Neodiprion lecontei: one gene and its partner. The protein of the gene in region 1 binds, or shares a complex with, the protein of each later gene. Links are inferred from orthologs where the notes say so. Each region holds a gene or a part of one and is shown on either strand. Other genes may lie near its edges. The genes, in order: WASH complex subunit 5 and WASH complex subunit 1.

Region 1 (10,198 bases):
TGCATCATTTATTATAAAAGTTATCTGCAAGAAAAATCTTTAATATTACGATTTACGATTACGATTGAATACATAGGGCAAAGTGTGTCATCGCAATTCAAGATATTGGACTCACTTCTTCCTGCCATATCTTGAGACTGTTGATATTTATGTAGTCCTGAATGTATTGGAAGGATCTGCGATAGCCGTCTATTACCACCGCGAGCTCTTCCAATTTTTTGAGCAATTCACTAGTCTTTTAGAATCAAGATTATCAGAAAATAAGTCGTAAAAAATTAATTTTGATCCTACTTAGATCTGGGAAAATAAAAATGAAACTGTTTAATTACCTTTGACTTTGCATCGAATGTAAGGCCACTGTGCAAGGCAAGGGTTATTTTTTCAACAAGCTCTTGCCTTATTCCGTCTTCAAGTAGCTGGTGAGAATCGACCAGAAGAATACCCAATGAAACACTCTTTAGGGCAAGCACCCCTTCCGTAAAAACTGATACAGTGTACGTTAACTTAGCTACCTGTAGCAATAAAGGGGACTTAATAAGGAGATCATGATGAGGACAATTTAATTTTTGTACCTTGAGCCTGTCATCCAACTGTGCGTATTCTCTCAGTTTATCCTTGCTTAATCGCAAAGGTATCTCTTTGAGATGATTGGTTTCCAAATCGACAATCTGTGCAAGTAGGCCAAACACTGTTTCTGGAATAACTTGAAGAACATGTCGGGCAAATACTTCCAATTCTCTACTGTAATGCTGTGATACTGAAGACAAATCTGAACTGTGAGCTTGATTTATACGTAGTAGTGGAGTTTCCAATGCAGATGCCATCTGCAAGGAGTAATATTCTCATAACAATTTTTTTGCTTTCGTTTAATTAATTTGATTATTTTATGATATTTCACACTAGTCCTTGTCTTAAAAATATATCAAGTATGTACCTAATCGTACCCCTTATATATATTGTGTGTACCTGAACTTTTCACTTCTTTTCCTTCATGTAAGTATTGATCTTAAATAGTTCATTGTTTTCAAATACAGTGAAACTTCAGTTATACGTTTTTCAAGGGATATGGCAATATTTACGTATAAGTGCGAATAACGTTGAAGCGAAATATCTAAATGTTTCAAACCTTCATGATTAGCAGATGAAAAATTCATGATTTCCAGTGGTTTTATAAATATTATTCGGTCATGTAATGTTGCCAACTAATATTATTAACACTAATTGGTAACACTTCAGTAAAATCGCATAACAGTCACACAGGCTGAAATTCACCCTAGCTCCAAAAGTGATATCCTGCTTCAACAATGAGTTCTAAAAATCTAATAAAAATATCCAGGTATTGATTAAGGGTCGCAGAAAAAGATCTCTTAGTTTTTCCCAATCACAATTGATTGTTTAAATATTGTAAAACATCGGCAAAGTTATGATACTAAAGGACTCTACGAGAAGTTTGAATAATGTGTTTGGTGATATTCACCCCAAGTGACTAATTAGAGTTAGTTCGAGCATTTCACAGCTAGCTTAAACATTCAAAAACATACTGCGCTGGTCTAACTTGTACCTTTTTCTTCTAAAACTGTAATTCTTCTCAAAAATTTTCCTCTTCCAGATTTTTTCTCGTATTTATGACTTATATTTATACATACAAACTACACGATCACATTCTAAGATAGTGAAATTACATCTCTGAATTTTTTGAGGTAGATTGGACTCATACATTCGACAGGTAACACGTCAAAAATGGAACAGGGTCATTTTGAACCAGAGTGTTCTTCATAATCCAAAAAATAAGTTAGTTGTCGAATGGTTAAAGTTAATATAGTGACGGTAAGTAAAAATTATCTCTCCGTAGATATGGTGCTGACCTGAACTTGCCAAAACGTCTTTGGGATAGCAATAGCCACATAGGTCAACCTGCGTCATCCAGCAGTAGATAAGAACACGAAATATCAAAACGCGTGCGTTAATTAGCGGTAGGCAAACATCAAATCGAAAGACTGGACTTAAAAATCAGCTGCAATAATGTTTAACAGTTAGAGAACAGTGCTATGAGACGGTTAACGTAGAGTATATGTGCCAAACGTTAAACGAGAAACCTGCAAGTGAGATATTTTCACATGGTTCATAGGCACAAATGGCCTCGACGAAGAAAAATTTAAGGTATAAACAAGAAAAACGTACAAGTGCTTAACGTTTAAATGAGGTTTTACTGTATCAGTAAACAGTAAATAGAAAATGTGGAATTTTTGACAAGAAGTTAAAAAATAATTGAACTCAATGGGAACTGCAGTTGAGATATGGATTCAAGGTTAAGAAAAAAAACCTCATTTCACCAATAACATGGTTCTTACTTTTTGACCGTGTGTGTGTCAATTTTCAGTGGACATAATTCACAACGTTTTTACGATTTTTTTTTAGAAATTATCAATGCGAAATATTACCATTTTTTACTAATAAAATGAGTATTGAGCAATATCAGGAAGTGAGAATAATACCTTCGAAAAAAGGGGTTTCAATTTGGTAACCATCGGTGGATCCTTTTTAATACACTCCTGCATGATGCTTATGAAAGACTCCATAATGTTCCATGCGTAGCTACAGTCTGTTACGATGTTTAAGGCGATCATTACATCCTCAGTTATGCTACTGGTGCGAAGCATACGCTGCAGTATATCACGAGTGTCAGCGAGGTACTGAGATATATGTAGATTATGCTCCAATTGATGAAACTCTGTAAGTTTATGTTACAACAATCTCTGAACAATTAACAAAAAACCATAGACAATCAACTTGCCTTGAACTTCTTCCAGGGCCTGAAACAGCTGCACTATCTTTCTTCCCTCGTCTTGCTGTAGGGAATCAACGTGTTTTCCTATCTCTTTGAACCATATCTGCAAGCATTCGTTCTTTTCTACCCCATCTAGCGGCCTGTTTCCACTGAACACTTCTGCCAAACCAGAAATACGTTCAACGCAAATCTCTTTGTGACGAGTCCAAATTGTTTCTTTGTCAGTCAGCAGCTGCGTAGGTGTTCAAGTATAGTTAGTATTAAAACAAAATGTAAAGATAACAAAGTGACTATCTGACAAAGCAGTTAAGGCAACTAATTTTTTCATGATGCGCTTTCTTTAAAACTCTACATTAGTATTACAGTGTCTAAGTATAAGGAAATGGATGGAGGAAATGGCACCAGCTGCAGTATATCTATTCGCTTCAATCTCACCTTGCATTGCATAAAATAATGCTGTGTAGAAAATTAATACTCACTAAAAGAACATTGAATTTACTGGATATTTCAATTTTTTAAAAGCCGAGGCCAGAGTTTATAACCACAAATCTACTTAAGAACCCCAGCATCTGCTGTGCTTAAACCGAATAGACAAACTGTAAAGTTGGACATCTTCAAAGTGAAAAGATTCACAAGTAGAATAAATATGACCTAGCAAATCCTTCCGTACAATTTCATTATCCTCGAATGCCTTTAAAATATCATTTCACACCTACTTAGTTTATTTGGGAAATTTATTTTCAATCTGACTTCACTTCACTCTATTGTACAATGTACAACATTTCAAAGATGCTGAATGTTCCACTAAGTAGAAGTAGACTGGTGTAAAATAAAGTGCAGGATGAAAATTATAACTGAGATATTTCATTTCTTCAATAACCATTATTTGAAATAATACGCGCCATTAACATGTCTCACCTGTTTGTACATCTGTTTAACATCTTGCTCTAGTTGAGCAGTATTAAGCAAAAGCCAGAGACATTCAATGGCGATGTATTTGGATTCCTGTATAACGAGTTGGCGGATACTCCGCGATCGTTTGGATCCTTCGCTGAACATACCAGGCATTGAGGTGTGGAGAAGGATCCAATGAAGAGTAACATTACAGTCACGAACAAGCTTGACAGTATTTCCGATTGCATTTTCCTCCACTCTTTTGGTTAATTGGAATTCTTTGGTATCGGCTACCTGTTTCTGAAAATCACAGGTAGAAACTTACTCAACATTTTTTGTTAGCATTGAATTTTGTTAGAAGAATAACGTACAGACATCGTATGCATACCTTTAACTTCTGCCCATACTTTTGAGCAATTTGTTTCACGTTTGAAACCTCAAACGTGTTATTGAGAGCATTTTTTGCAGCTTTATATGGCTCCCACCAGTCCCACAAGTTCAGGACTAGCCCCATGTATATACTGATCACCCAATTATCCGGAAAAAATCTATCGACTGTTTCTCTCATTATCGAAGTTTGAGAGTGAAGCGTAGACGGGCTGAAGGCTAGAGCCACGACTAGCATAGCAGCCTGACTGGCTAGCGCCATGCTCCGATGTTCTGGATAAGGAAAAGCCAGACTTTGATTGTATATTTCGTCCGAGCGAAGGCGACTTATTACGAGATCAACAAGAAGAGTGTTGAGCGGAATTCGTCTGTATACGAAAAAATTATTTTGTGAGTTTTTAACCTAGAATTTTGTGAATGTTCAATTCAAATCAAAGAGGGAAAATATTACTTAAAATATGCTTCCGGATAGTTTGCAGGGCGTTTGAAAGGTGCATTGCTAAATCCTGTTGATCTGAGTAGGACACAAACATCATCTACCCTTGTCGTTGATATATGCTGTACATTGTATCGGTAGTAGGAAACAAGCAGCCGTTCTCGAATTGGTCCTTCGAAGTGCAGATCAACCAACAAAAGCATGACTCCGTACAAATACACTGCCTCACACTGCGATACAAGGACGATTTCAATATTATTGCTCAGTTTGCTACATCATGTACGATCATGAGTGGGAAAGCAAATAGTTTTTGAAATTTTTTATCAGGGATTACGAAAGGTTTGAATTTTTATATTCTTGATCTTTGTCTGGCTGTTTATTGCGGGCAACCAACTGCGTCCAGGAATGAAAAACATCGCTCGTTTCGTGAAATTCGGAATTAACAGAAACTTTTGCTTTCAACAATTTACTGTATCAGATATTTCTATGTGAAACAGATGTGAGTTCAAAGTAATTTCTGCAATCCTGCTTTCGTCTTTCATATTCGATATATGAATTACTACTTTTTTCTCAAGTAAATCATGGAATTTTAGTTGTAGAAAAGAGATCAGAATAAATATTTTGTATAAAGATTGTTATATTATTACAAACTATGATCAATTTTAGACACTCAAAAGATTCTCCGACTTCTCTAGTAAACAGGAAATTTCTTTGAAGTGGGATAGCTTAAAAAGTCGTTTTTGATTTCTTTGTTCTGAAGAGAATTTCAAAAAAAGAACATGCTATAATAATCTGATGAAGTGAAGTTGTTTGCAAATCGAGTCATAACACATTCAAAAAATTGTAGCGCAGTTTGAAAAAGTTGACACAGCTGAAAGCTGTTCAGCATAGTATCCATTGGAATTAACATTCTTAATCACCAGGAATAATTCCTCCATCATTCCAAAATGTCACATGAAAATATGCTTCAGACAAAATTAAATCACATATGTTTTAAAAATAATATTCAGAATTGAGTTCATGCAGCAATATAACCTTGCTTTGGAATACAGCAGAAAGCTAACGACTATTGGAACTTAAATTACATTATATCTCTAATGAGTAAGCATCTTTTTTGCAAATATTTTTAAATAAAATTCTCTCCTTTTTTGCGACCACTATCCGCATATTTGGTTGATTAACTTCCTTAATATCGAGTAAACAAAGCTGACCAGACACATACAATATGTCCATACCATCAACTGCTTTCCTTCTTCACTGAGCATTATTGTTTCGATAGATTGCTGTATGTATATTCCATCCTCCAATTCTTCGGTAAAAGCATTCAAATCGGTAACATACTTGTGAATGCTTTCAAAAGCCAAATAAAATCTAGTCAGAATATCTGAAAATGTATCACGCATCTCTTCGTCCAGTTCCTGCGATACCTGGGTTTGTCAGACCATTTGGTTAGTGAGTAAACTATTATATTCTGATATAATACATCCATCTATAGCTTCGATTACAATTTTGACTCACAGAATCGTTTTCTATTTTATGCTCATACGCATCGGCAGCCTTGAAATAGGAGAAGTCCAAGATGATTTGGCTGTAACGTTGATCCGCCTGCCTATAAATTGGTGTAAGGGACAAGTTATGATAGTGAGATTGACGGACGTTTATAGAATAATGAATACCTCATTTGCAGTTTGACACCTCAGTGAGAACTTAATGTGGATGTATTATTTATGTGAATTGGAAATTGCTGAAGGTGTTCCATATGAGCATGACCATCGTGATATCGTTTTACATGCATATGCAGAATGACGATATGAGAATGAAGAGGTATAAACGAACAGAGAATACTAACCTAAAAATTGGCGGCACGTAATCCTTTAGCCGCATCAATTCAGCTATAATAGCATTTCCACGCGAAACAAGCTGTAAAATATTCTGGCCGCATCCGTTATTCAATGCCAGAAAGTCCCCCATTTTAGAGACAGGTTAATCTGTTGAACCTTTTGACGAGACACTCCACTTACAATTAAATAGACCACGTCAAAACATTAGTTTTCTGCTTTGCGGACTCATTGCAGCAAAGTCGGATAGAGTGCGTGAGCATGATTGCATTGTTGCAGGCGTTATAGATGCAAACTGTCCGCCTTATTAGCGACCTATTAATATACCTCGGGATATTCAAATACATTAATTATAACCTTAATTATAACTTACCGACTCATGTCTCAAATTCAACGTCAAAATGAACTTAGCCGACGTTGCGAGATTTTTCAGCTAACAAATTTTGCATTTTGCTGATTTATTTTCAAAATCACGTGCACTTACTTCAAATTTTGATTGCTGTTTTATTAGTACTAAGATCTTTACCTAAGAATTTGGAATCCCTTTAGATTTGCTGACCTTTTAAATTATCTCTTACAACTATTATTGACGCGGCTGAAGCTATCAACCAGAATTAGCAACCAAACGTTCTAATATTCATTCAAATAAGGTAATAAAGTGCAATAATCGAAATTTTTTTAAAACGTTGAACCCCCAATACTTTTATAGAATTATGAGGATAAAACTGAACTGCATGTTTCTATTTCGAAAAAAGTTTAACACCTCCATTAAAATTTGCTTTATAATAGTCAAAATATAATATGACAGAGCAAAATGAAATGAAGAGGAAAATATTTCAAATTAGACGCAGGTTGTAGTTTGTACAATAAAATTCGATTCTGGCGATAATTTTACTATCTTAAGAACTAATCTCAAATCCAACGCAGTAAATAAAACTAACAATGGGTGCTGATCAAAATATCAGGTCGAAGTTTGAGAACTTGAGGCCATTTCTTTGTAATTTCCATCGTCAAGTATAGTATAGTATAACCTGACTTTCGTTAACAATTTTTGACTTCAACCCAGTTCTGTTACAGCTAACAATAAGTGTAACGAGTTCTCTTAATTTCACCAGATTTTATTTAGAACTAATTGAATTCTCTGTGTCTGGAAGTCAGTACTATTTAAGTACTAGTTAAGAAAACGCTAAAACGATCGTTATGCATGTACGAAAATAATAATAACGAGTTATTCAGTCAAACTCTCCTTTCGGAGTTTTATAGGTACATATTTGTTTTAGCCACCATACATAATCCTACTTTTTCATCATATGACAATGTTCAATAAAAATCTGAATGCATAAATCCTTGCCGTATTTCATTTCTGCTCCCAACCACCCTGTAGATGCAATTATCTATGTAACCAGCTGCCTTAGATCACAAAAACTTCTCCAGTTTTTCATTTTGTTCTTCAATTTCTTTCGTTGATCTATAATTATTTTTTCTTCTGAGCGCATTTCGTATCCCATTTCTCATTGGGGTGCGCTAAAAATCGGTACTATAGTCTTCCCTTATCTCTCAAGCATCCAGTTAAACGCTTCCTTTAGGTACGTATATCGAGAATTATCAAGTTGCTTGTTATAAAAATGGCGCTTGCCCTCCCACCTGTCCATCCGACCCGCGCTAACACGCACAAGGCATTCTGTGCTATTCCTCGAATACTTCTTCCAATTGTGAACTCGAGTCTCGTCTTCAGTGATGTGTCCAGTTTCTGTTTAACTTTCTGACCTCTCGGTGAACTCTGCCAACTCTGCCATTTGATCCCGTAATGCAGTAATTTCGTCCCTTATCTACTGCATCGTGGTCAACATCTGCCTAAGCATTGAGACATTTATTTGCAAACCGAACACCTTTCTGACCGACACATTTTTGATTCAGCTGAATTTTTTTTACTGGTTTTACATCGAAAAAAAGAGATACGTATTCGAGGATTTTTTTTTCACATATTTTAGAAAATAGATGGGGTCGAAAATTTGAGAATCTGGTGATTTTCGGCGGGGAGACTCATTTTAAAAAATTCATAGCTCCAGTTCTATTTGAGCTAGATAGTTCTCTTTTTCATTTTAAAGCTAAAAGAATGAAATGTAATAAAAACATAGGTTCATTGAAAATTATTAATAAATGCATATTGTTATAAATAATTAAAATGTTTAAATCGATCTTTAACTCACCTCGTAGCGAGTTCTTAGTATAACCTTCGTATTCTACGTCAAATTCTTGATCAAAAAAGCATTTTTGAATGATGGAGAAATTATTGTTACTGTTGAAAAAAAATTAATTTATCTACCGCGGCACATTATATCGGCGCGCGGATTCCATTGCACGCCTCATTTTCTTGCCTCGTATCGTTTTTCTCTGTAATATAAATATAAATGATTATTCTATATTGTTGATAAAATAATATTATTTATTAGTAAATAAGACTTTATAAAAGATTGAACAAAAAAATAAAGACAATTTTTTTTTTATCTTTTTAATTCTGAAAAAAAATCATACCTTGAAAACCAGATCCCGGCCCATGATGAATTTTACACAAGTTTTTGAACAGTAAGAAAGGAATATGCTCTGAAATTTTTGTCGAAAGAAATTATGCCGCTTTTGAGAAATCTCAGAAACTAATATTCTTTGAGCTTTTACGGGGTTTCAGCGGCCACGATACCTTTTGCATAATTTAGCGCTGAAGTTCACTCAAAACTGAAACTTTTTCATATGCAACTTTTTTTTATACAATCAATAGCTTACGAGTAATACTTAATTACACTTCGGACGTTTCCGATTTCCGCAGATATTATACCGAATGCTAACGTCTAATAATAAGTGTTATGGAGTAAAAATCTAAAAAAAATCACAAACACTCTCGACAAGTAACAGAAAGTTTTCACGAATTTTAAACAGATTCGAAGAGACTTTTCCGCAGGTCAATCTGACGTGGAAAGCCACATATATATTATATATTGTTCTTCTTTGCTAATAAATAATATTGTTTAATTAAAAATATAGAATTAGCATTTATATTGCATATACAAACGATACGAAGCAAGAAAATGAGGCGTGCAATGGAATCCGCGCGGCGATGTGACGTGCCGCGCTAGATAAATTAATTTTTTTCCAATAGTAATAACAATTTATCCATCAACTAAAAATGCCTTTTTGATCGAAAATTTTACGTGGAATACGATGTTTATACTAAGAGCGCGCTACGCGGTGGGATGAATTGTTAAAAATCGAGTTAAACATTTTAATTGTTTATAACAATATAAATTTGCTGATAATTTTCAACGAAACTGTTTTTTCATCGAAATTCAGTCTTTTCACGTTAAATCGGCCGTTTTAACTCCGAAAATTATGAAACAAATCATAAATCTAACAGAACATATCTGCGCACATATCAAGGATTTTTTCAGATTTTTCGGTAGCAAACTCGAGCGTCTGAAAATTCTTGAACATTTGTATGAGTGGTGTATATATGACAGTTCAGGACCACACAATGGCGCGCATCCTCCTAGCTCCCCCCCTAGCCCCCCGTTCCCCTAAATCCGCGGTGCTGCCCCCTCCCCTAAAACCGCGGCGCTACCCCCCCAGGATTTGACACACACACACACACAAAATAATTCCTGTCGAGATTTGTTTGGCGCCGGAAAGCCGTGCATAAATCGGATAGGGTAAAAACCCGCTAGATCTATTGAAAAAATTCCAGGAAATGACCCCTGAAGGAAGGTTTAAAATGGCGTTTTGAATGCTTTTAACAATTTTTTTATTCAACATCAATTACACTTAGTTTTCTTATTCTATTCTAAATTATCTTATTCTAAATTT
Region 2 (10,598 bases), on another chromosome or scaffold:
GGAACTTCTGGGAGTAGATTTACTGGTTTTTGCTGTGGCGATCCCCGCTGTAAATCCGAAACAGAATTTGGGCTAGGTGTAGGATTAGGAATGGGACTTCCATCCCTATATCTTACTGGAGATCCATCGATGGAATTGCCGCTTGTTGAATCAGACTTTACTTGCGGCAGCAAGTTGCTCAGCAGCCAATGATTTGCTTGTGCCTCTTTACTTTGTTCGTTATTAAATACCGGTGGCTCCTCACGATTGTTGACTGCTTTTTGATTCTGACAAAACATTGTTACCAAAGCTTTTATGTGACGAAAATATTTGATTGATTGTAGTTGATCAGGAAATTTTTCAACTTGCGAGATAAAAAAGACAATATAGGTATGTTCTGAGAACAATAAAATTTTCTCAAAATTCTGTTCAGAAACATTCAATGGTTGATAGAAATAGACGAAAATATAAAATTGTTCAATTTAAACCAAGAATGGATCAACTATTATTGCTCACTTGTTCGGAAGGTAGAATCGTACTGCCTGTAGAAGTATTTGAAGAAGCAGATATATGTCTTTTACTGGGTCTTACTTGATCCGCCTCTGCATTCTTTAATAACGAAGAGACTAGTGCCGCATCTTTGTGAAAATCTGGATGTTTGGTATTGATGTAAGCAAGCTCGATAGCGACCAAATTCTCCACCTTGTAAACAGATTCTCTTGGTTAATTATAACAAGTGCCGAAATAAGCGAAAAACTAGTCGCAACGTCATTACAAATAAGGTAAACCGTTCAGGCAAGTCTAAGTGAAATCGATGTCAATGCTCCATTTTCACAAAACGCAGACCAAAGTTGCGTGTAATGTATTTGAAATATCTTCACCATAGAATTAGTTGTCGGTAATCGTCGGCGTAGAAGATGCGTAACAACGTCGACGATCCGTTCGTGTAGTTTTGGAAAACGAAGCATTTCTTGCTGAACTTCGGTGCCGCAGTGTTGAATGATTCTCTGCATCTCTTCGTGAACTAGTTCGACGCAGCGTAGCGAAGGCTCTTCGAGTCTCCTGATCTGTCGCTTGACCAGGAGTTCAAACGAGACCTCGGGAACAAAGAGAGCCGGTCTGGGACCCGTCGCATTTCGAATTGCAGTCAAAATATCCATCCTAGTTAGACCAGCCAGTGGATGAATGGAATCTAGTGTTCGTCCAAATGTCTCGTGAAATATGTAGCAGATACGAGCACCTCCACAGAGCTCGGTAGTCTCTATATTTCTTGCTGTTCCCTCAATCGTCGAACAGTAACTGCTCGCAAACTTGGTTATTATCTGAAGCAGTGTCTGGCTCTTGTCTCCCACATCCTCTCCGTATGAGTTTAAAAGTGTTTGGAATTGGGAGACCATCACATTCACGCGTGTCTGTTGTTTGAATAAATAATTGTTACATGGCCGAAGGAAGGGACCAGATTTACATGCTCTCCTGACTAACAATTTAGCAAAGGCTTACCTTTAAATCGGGAAGGCAATCGCGAATATGATGCATTAAAAGTCTGTTGAGGGTTTTTGCTAAGTAAGGAGTGCCGTTTCTGTTTGCCAAAGTAGGATATTTTCGTTGCAGGAAGGCAGCTTCGTCCTTAAGAGCTTCCTGGATAGACTTGTTATTCATTATGTCTTGCTGTGAACGATTTACAACTCCTATGATCCCCAGCTTCACAGGAATCACCCGTCCGCACAGGATATCAATCGCATCCGTTCCTCAAACCCAAAATAACAAGCGACTCTCAAGCAGGGTTGTATAAATGAATGATAAAATAATTCCAAGAAAAATATAATTCTTCGGGACAAATTTTCAGATCAAGATTAGCTAATCAAATCAATTCTTAAACTTAACTCCAGTTTAAGAGAGAAAAAAGAAGGATAGAAAGAAATACGTCGCCACAAAATTCAATACATCAGATATCAGTTCAAAGTTACTATTTAGTTGGTCAAATTACCAGCGTCCATTAGATCCAGTTTAGTAACAACTGCGAGGGTTCTCCTTCCATCGGGATCAACGTCTTTGCTGAGTTTGAGGCTCTCGCTGGTCGCCATGTCCGTGTTTGCGGTTACAACGGCCAATATTATGGAATTTGGATTGCAAATGTGTTTCAGAACCAAGTTTCTGATTTGCGCTTCAATATCCTCGGGCTGATCGCCAACGGGGACCTTGGTGATCCCTGGCAAGTCGACGAGTGTCAGATTTACAACCGAGGTTGAATAAACCTTCAGATTAATCGGTTCAGGACAAATTCCCTTGTTGGATCCAGCCATCCGATTCGTTTCAGCCTCAATTTCCAATCTGATATCATCGAAGTTTGTAAATATTTTATTTTTAGTGTGCAAAAATACACCCCACTCGTCAAGGGTCAGCGTCCCATCTTCGGCTGTTCTGTGCTCCCTGTCATCTTTCGGCGCATAAACGAGCTGAAGAATCAACGGCCTACGAGTCACTATACCAGTCCCTCTGGGCAGAAACGAGCGGCCTACCAAACTCTCTATGACGGACGATTTCCCGGAGCTCTGCATACAATGGAAAACATATATTCTCATTTCATTTGTCGGATATTCTTTTCATTCTCAAATGGGATAATGTATGGATAACACAAGGGAATTGGAAGAGGTAATTCATCATAGAAATAAACATTTTCCCAAACTATTTGTGACTGCACAGTTTTCTGGAGTTCTAATTCATAGTAGAAAATTATTCCTGGAATTAGATTCATTTCAATTTATCAACAATTCTGATAACTCTCAACCTCAAGAATAAGTGTTTTCATAGTTTAGCACAGGGATTAAAATTTTTATCTTTGAAAATCATTAGCAATCACTAAATAACTAATACCGGAAGTGGTAATGAAAGAAAAGTAATTTTGGAATGGGATAACGTTTTTTTAAAGTTTCACTTGTATGTTCATTTTAATGATTGTTGAATTGGAAAAATAGTTTTTGCTGGATCCTGTTAAGAAAATTCATATTTGTTGTCATTCACAGATCATGCAATGTAACCTAACAATGAGAATCTAAAAATTGGAGAAATGTTTTATGAAAGTAGGCGTTAAGGTGGACGAATAATTTAGGAGTAAAAATGAAACCAAAGATGGATATAAAATTAAAAAATAGTGTTTTCAAAGAATTGATTTGCAAGATTCCATTAGGAAAAGAAAAAAAATATGTTTTCTTTCATCACTGGTCTCATCAGCAAAAAATAAATTCAACTGTAAGAAAATGCTAAAACTAGTAAAAATCATCGATAAAAATAGAAACTTTTAAACGATAGTAATTTTAATGAGTGAAGTAAAATAATTTTAGTATAATATTCTTCGAATTTGAAATACAATACCTGAAAAAGTCATATCGACGACAAGTAGGATCACAAAGATAAAGGATCAAGGATCCGAGGGCAAGATCGGGCTTTTAAGGAAGAAACGCGAGACTGTCTAAATCAATGGTTTGAAACGTACCGACACATTGTCAATAGTATAGGTGAAATTATAATTAACCTGTGTTCCGAGAACGACGATTTGAGGCAATTGTATGGCGTCAGCACCAACGGTGTTGAATACATCTTGGAGTTTATTTATCACTGGAATGAGGGCCTCCATGATCGACGACGACGAGGTTAAGAGTAGTCGAGGAATACCACGATTTCTGTACAGATTAACGGAGCCTGAAATTCTAGCCACCCGACGAAAATTACAAGCTGAAGAACAATCGGAAGATCGAGGATACTGCGATTCCAACAGTTACGAGCATCTACACCACCTTCAACAAATCCAGCTCGAGCGTATGCAGAGATCGATGGATTATCGTTTTATTTTACAGAAACTAAAACCTAGGCGGTTTCTGCATCGATCGTCGACGAAATCGAAACCTCTCATTAACCCAGCGATACCCTTTTTAACTCACTACTCCCGTTTAATCCACCGGCTGAATTCACTCGGCCAGGAATCGTCAAGCCGCCATCTTTACTCTCCTTAAGGCGGTCGATTGCGAATTGGATCGCGAATGGGTTTTAAGTGCGGCCGTTATTTGAAATTTGAATTTATTACAGACTGCACGAAGCCGCGATTATAATCACGGAAATCAATCTGCGTTCGTATTTTCTTTTCTCATCCTCTTTGCTACGCATGCGATCTTCAGCCGCCTCGCGCTTTGGATTCGATTCGAAACTGGGTAAAGAATTGCAATCTTTGGCCAGTTTTTGACGGACGGAACGGAACCTAACATAACCTAACCTGATAAAGAATTAATGGGCGTAAAGTGGCAGAACTAAGAATGGCAGTCGTTCGCCTATGCAGACGATATGCAGTAGCACTTGTTTTGAGTAGTTTAAACCAGATTTAAATACAACTCGAATGATATGAGAGAGTTTATGGCGATGAGTTAATGGTTCGCGATTGTTGTTAAGTGTCAATACATTTTTCGGGGGAAGGAGCCGGCGTCGGATTGATATTTGAATCAATCGTCGTTTGTTTGTATAAAAATTGACCTTATCGAATCAGGAGAAATGCAGGGGCACATAGAAATTGGTAATAATGATACATTCGGCGTAATTTTTATACATTTCGTGTTATAAATACTCAAACATCAGTCATTCGCATTGTTTTTAATTGATTCGAGAGATAGATGAGATTTCTAAACAAATTCATTCGAACGCAGACCACAGTGTTATGCAAAATAATCTATGATCTTTGGATAGATAACGTTATGAAATCGTATGATTTTTAATCTTTAAATATCAGATGACAATAACAGTCACAATAATATTTATTTAAACAAATAATTATTCTCTCTTCGGCAAGTTTTAATTTTCAGCATCGTGTTTCAGGTGTGATTCCGCATGATTTGCGACAGGAGGAAACCATAGTCCAGATTGCAGAAGCATTAGATTCGCTCAACTCTGCTGTAGCAAGCATATTTAGCTGTATCGACGAGCGGTTATCGGAAAATACAAAAAGGTATTCAAGACAAAGTTGTTTGTGTTCTTTCGTTATGAAATGTAGTTGTGTAGCGCAAATCTGGTCTTCACTCTCAGAGATTGAAGAAAGAATAACTAATTAGCGTTTTCATTTTTCACAAGGTAGAAGAAAAGAACTAATGGTTGGAAAATATACTAAAAAATCTCATCTTTGATACGTTGTTACAGATTAGCCGGTATAAAAGGTCGCGCTGTGAAACTTCAGGGCAGATTAGACCACCTGCAAAATAACCTAAGCTTGAAGGCGGTGAAGCTATACTCTGCAGCAAAATACCCCTCGAATCATGTCTACAGAGAGTATCCGCTGGCTCTAAAACTGCCAATTAAAAAGGAGGATAAACCGCCGAGCGTCTATAAGAGCCCAGTTCCCATAGCGCAGGAGTTGAACTCGCAAAATATCGTCACCGAAAAGTCAAAGGACGGGCGGTGGAACGTTGACATCAACATACAAGACAAGCTGCAATTTTATCACGTCAAAAGTAAAACAAATAAAGGCAAGGGCTCTGGACATTCTAGAGCTATTCCAGTTAGACCAACCTCTGTCAGTTCGCTACTGCTACACGACGCCAAAGACAACCAGTATGGTAAACTTCCCGCAAAAAGCCTGGCATCGGCTAATGACAAGAGGGAAATCGAAGATGCTCCTACTTCGATATTGCAGTCATGGCACACCAATGATCTAGAATCTCCATCAAATTACTTCTATGCTCCAACGTTAGGCGAAGTACGTTTTTTAAGATTTATACCAACAAGGGCTTTTAGTTTGAAAGATATAAAATTTCTTGAATATTTTCTCTATTTTTTTAACTGATCGAGGTTTGAAATTTGAAAGAAATTCGTAACTGTTCTAGAACATGCTACTACTTTCAATACAAGGGTACCGACTATCAAATCTTATGAAACTGCATTTTTTCAGTGGATATTACAAACATACTGTAAACTCATCACTTCGGTACTTTAGATTTGAAAAGAAAAAATTATGAGTACAAAGAAGTTGAATGCTCAGATCAAACAGATTTACTTTTCACTTTCACACTTCACTAACAACTTAAATTTGGTATGAGAACTAGATCTAGTTTGTATTATTCAATTGATGATAGATACCACATGATCAATGTTTAAAACTTCAAAACTAGCACAGCGTTTATGAAGAATTGATTGTACGATTATACCATTTGTGTTTTCAGGTTCCACAGATAAACGTACCTCTCAGTCTCCCAGACCTGCCAGGAATAGTTGATGACGAACGTTTTGTGCTTGACCTACACAGTCAGAGTCCAATTGCTCCATCTTCGGTGGTAACAACACCGACTGTGAACCTGCCCTTACCAGCAGCTCCGTCTGATTCTGCCCCCGACGCAACTATGGAACCTCAAAACAGTAGAGAAAATGAACCTAGCCTTCCAAATTTGAGCCTACCAAGCATATCATCGGAGCAAAATCCTCCACCACCTCTACCTCCGGTTGAGATCGGTAACGTTTCTCATCCTGGGCCACCACCGCCTCCTCCTCCCAATCCCTCCACACTTTCAATCTCGACATCTCAACCACCACCTTCTGCTCCTGCTCCTCCTCCTCCTCCGCCTCCTCCTTCACTTGTCGAACCTCCAAAATTGTCATCATCGGTTACGAAAGACACTAAAACACAGTCTGTTAAATCTGTTCCAAATGTCGATCAGGTCGATAATCGGTCTAGCCTAATGGCAGCTATCCGCGACGCGGGCGGAGTTGGTAGAGCAAAATTAAGGAGTGCAGCACGTAAGGATGAAAATACAGATAAATGGTCTTCTGCTTTCGTTGGGGGCGATTTAATGGCAGATTTACACAACAAATTATCACTCAGACGTAGAGGTATTTCTGGAACAGCTACCGGCGCATTGGGCAGAATGTCCGCTATGATTCCTCCACCTCCGAAACCAAACGAGTCCGCTACTTCGGAGCGAAATTCTGCCGCAAGTGAACAAGACTCGCAACCTGATACCGATGATTGGGAGGAATGATAGACTAAGATTGCTACTTGAAACTTCCTTTTTCGCTGTATAAAAACATACACAGAGAGTGATAAAATATATATTCCAACAATAACGATAAAAAGAAAAAAGAAAATGTCTTCTTTGCTGTCGTGTACATAATTCAATCAGTTGTTATAGCCGTAATTTCTGAATTAATTTCACGCAATTTCAACTAAAAGCTGGTCAGTATTAACAATTACAGTACTTGATGTATTGGTAAATCGATACAAGAAAAGGTCAACAATAATAAAAATATTGGTACAAAATTCATCGCATATCTATAATAAGTTTCATATCCTATATCAAATGTACATTGTTATTCGTAAGATATGCAATGAAGTAAAACAACTTTGAATATTGATTAACCGTAAAGAATTGTAGATCTTTAATTTTGTGGGCAGGTTACGATATTGGTATCATGATATTCGTAGTATCTGTCAGCAATTAGATTAGATAAAACCAGCCATCTCTACTTTCACGCAATCTACTGGAGTCTATGATTGTAGAAAAATCTCTATTCTATGTCTTATTCAATGAAACAATAATGACAACTACGACAATGATCAATTAATAAGAATTCAGCACTGCTCAGCAATGCAATATTATAACTTTGAACGTTTTAAGTCATCATTTTGCTTATCTACTCAGCAACAGGACTTTTAGAAATTAAACAATTTGCAATGTGCTTGGCCACTTTTTACATCACTTACTTATTTTTTTTTTTTTTCCAAGAGTTAAATAAAAATGTTCAATCGCTAACAACATTCCACACTGAAGAATGTTTCGATTTTAAAAATGGGGGGTTGGGCCGACTTTATGGCGGTTATAAAATGCGTGTATAAAATTGTAAAATCATTTCGATTAATATCCGTAATACTTATCGATAGAGCAGTTCTTCACAATATTCATATACTTATTCTTAACTAATAATATATATAATATTATATACTGTATAAGATTCTTCAGTTAGTAAAGGCAGTTTTTCAAAAATTATAACACCGACGAGGGTGTGAAAATAGGTGATCCAGTAATCGTTATAAATTCGGAGCTGCCAAATTGAGGAAATTCATCGCCACTTCAAAGCCGGCAAAACAAGCTGCGTTTGCAGGGAATGCTCTGAGCATTACAGGAGCACATCCTTTGTAAAGTGCACGAGGTCCCTCTTCCTTCATCAGTTGAGTGAATACAGAACGAATTCCATTTTTGTATGTGCCTTCCGGTGCTTTAGAAAAATTAGAAACACACGTTAAAACCTTCACCCCCTAGTTGAACGATGAAGAAGAATAAACGATTGCTTGCGTATCACTGGACATGGCAGTAATTTAGTCATAATTCGTTGGCTCGTTCACCTACCAGTTTGCAGTCTACTTTTTAATACATCTGGGGGTATCGCTACGATCCAATTTGCAATTCCAGCCATACCACCGGCAAAAATAGTCGACACAACACCCAATTTTCCACCATCAGGTGTCAACCATCTCTGAAGCAATTCGTACATCATGAAATACACTCCACTGGCCGGTACGTCTGTAATGATAGAGGAATAAGACAAAGAGTCGAATAAATGCGTATGCCCGAAGTTTAGGGGTGGCGTATTGTTATTCGCGATGGGTGTGCTTGTTGTGTTTGCTATTATTAATATAACTTAGTAACTTTCAAATTGGAAATCACACCGTAATTAATAATATTGTAGAACGTGCGTGGGTCGATAGATAACTGACATCCTGCCCGGATATGGGACAAACAATCTGACAGATAAATACAAACGAAATTCAGTTTCTCTCCAGCTAGCTTCTCTTTCGGAAATCTAATTGTTCCTCCTTGTCGTCTGACCACGGTTACACGCCACATCTTTTGCTATTCTATACGTTTTACTATCATGAAGATCGTCACGCTGTTTTTATGGCCAGTTTTAATCCCGGTTCGTGATCATCGCTTTGTGCAATAATTTCTACTCTCAGAGTTTTTCTCGTTTTTCTTTTTTTTTTTTCGATCTTTCAGAATAAAGTTAGCAGAATAAACTAATTCATTATTAAACGCGTTTGATTGTTGAATCATTAATTTTGGACAATTTTAGTTCGGAAGGAGATAGTGTTTTTGTTCGTGTTTTATTTTTATTTATTTTTTTAACAATTTTGACAACAGCTCGCGATATGCATCAGAGCTTCTGGTTTCCTACATAATTATATCTCTTGCTCATTTTCCTCAAGACTCAATGAATGTATTGAATATGTTCATGATTTTATTCAGGCTTGGTGTTTTGGACAGATAATAGACATCGGTGGAATATGGGAGATACAATGTCCTCATGTATGCAATTGTCAGATAGCAAAGTTCTATGATTTGCCTTTGTATCGGTGGGCCAACATGAACACGAATAATCAAGAGGTAAATGAGTTGGGTTATTTAGCTGTAACAAGACGTAATAAGTTTGTGAAAATAGATTGTTTGTTTTTTTTTTCTCGTCAAATTAGACCATAATTTTTCAATAAATCAATAAATCTTCAAAAGGTTAATTACGAGAAGCACGTTACATTTTGATTTGACAATACTCCATGGTTGTATTAATTCCGCAGGATTTAGAACCGGAGGTGAATTATTATCAAAGTTTGAACAATGACGAACCAATGGCAACCGAGTTGTTGAAAGTAGCCACGTGTGTGCTGACAAAGGACGCAAAGCAGTTGCTGGAATCTCTTCCGATAGATTTGCAGGTTTGAATGATTATTCGAGTATCGCTGACTGGCTGTTCCAACTTTCACTAATGGACAATGATAAAAATTTCAGGTATTGACTATTCTAGAATCTGGAGACGGAGACAAAGAAATCCGGTTGAGTTCCACCGACACTAATCGTTTCACCGATTTGATATCCTTGGATATCCAAGGAATGGGGTACAACGACAGACTCAGAAATTCTGGCGGGAAGCTCAAATTAACCAATAAAAGATATGGAATAGTTCTAGATGTGGACGCGTTGCTTCCGCTCGGTCCGACGCTTCGCTACCTCAATTTAGAACGCGTGAGGCTCGCGAGTAAAAGTACGTTCAATAAAGGTCAAGTGAACTTGGTCGTCAAGCCGGTAAGTCATGCGAGCAATGAACACGAGGATCAAGATTCTGGACCAGAAGGTGAAGTTGTCAACCAGAATGGCTTAAGATTGATATTTTTGAGCCACGGGGGTGACGGAGAGAACGGCGAGGAAGAGGAGCGAGAAATTTTGCCGTATAATTTGTACAAACAAGAAGTCGAGGGCTACAGAGAATCTGCGCATCTCTTTACAGGCTTGGGAAGATTGACGCACTTGAGAGCCTACGATTGCGCGCTAAAAGATATTTCTTGGGAGATGTTTGACGGCTTGGACAGTCTGGTTTTATTGTCTCTGGAGAAAAACGATTTGAAAGTCATTCCTAAATTCTGCTTCTACGGTACACCCATTTTGAAGTCACTATCTTTGGCCGAGAATCAGCTACTGACTTTGACGAGCGTCGAGCTGGCTGGACTATTGGCACTTGAACGATTAGACCTTCGAAGAAATAATTTAACTTTCTTGTCCGAACTCTCCTTTCCCCCGTTTCCAGTACTGGTCGAAGCCGAT

What was found.
Region 2: WASH complex subunit 5 (region 1) and WASH complex subunit 1 share a complex: the UniProt entries of both Drosophila melanogaster proteins name them as parts of the WASH complex. The link is inferred for Neodiprion lecontei from reciprocal best matches to the Drosophila melanogaster genes Strump and wash.

The regions. Positions count from the first base shown.
Region 1 is NC_060261.1:22,758,197-22,768,394, reverse strand, and holds the start of WASH complex subunit 5, read right to left. Parts: upstream 6,571-10,198; 5' UTR 6,477-6,570; coding exon 6,355-6,476; intron 6,115-6,354; coding exon 6,024-6,114; intron 5,933-6,023; coding exon 5,741-5,932; intron 4,736-5,740; coding exon 4,521-4,735; intron 4,438-4,520; coding exon 4,071-4,437; intron 3,983-4,070; coding exon 3,707-3,982; intron 3,021-3,706; coding exon 2,795-3,020; intron 2,732-2,794; coding exon 2,496-2,731; intron 2,493-2,495; exon of another isoform or gene 2,419-2,492; intron 2,161-2,418; exon of another isoform or gene 1,722-2,160; intron 825-1,721; coding exon 573-824; intron 513-572; coding exon 330-512; intron 236-329; coding exon 116-235; intron 25-115; coding exon 1-24. UniProt on the Drosophila melanogaster protein: Acts at least in part as component of the WASH complex which may regulate wash nucleation-promoting factor (NPF) activity and is required for its membrane targeting during endosomal sorting.
Region 2 is NC_060264.1:30,290,076-30,300,673, reverse strand, and holds WASH complex subunit 1, read left to right. Parts: upstream 1-4,069; 5' UTR 4,070-4,138; coding exon 4,139-4,184; intron 4,185-4,276; exon of another isoform or gene 4,277-4,518; coding exon of another isoform or gene 4,519-4,540; intron 4,541-4,839; coding exon 4,840-4,969; intron 4,970-5,157; coding exon 5,158-5,713; intron 5,714-6,176; coding exon 6,177-6,989; 3' UTR 6,990-7,271; downstream 7,272-10,598. Other genes in the region: dynamin-1-like protein, read right to left, coding at 1-266, 496-681, 861-1,391, 1,480-1,727, 1,967-2,531, 3,512-3,613; carboxypeptidase N subunit 2-like, read left to right, coding at 8,881-8,922, 9,252-9,389, 9,578-9,715, 9,789-10,598; congested-like trachea protein, read right to left, coding at 8,036-8,223, 8,355-8,528. UniProt on the Drosophila melanogaster protein: Acts as a nucleation-promoting factor by activating the Arp2/3 complex to induce actin polymerization. Participates in both linear- and branched-actin networks.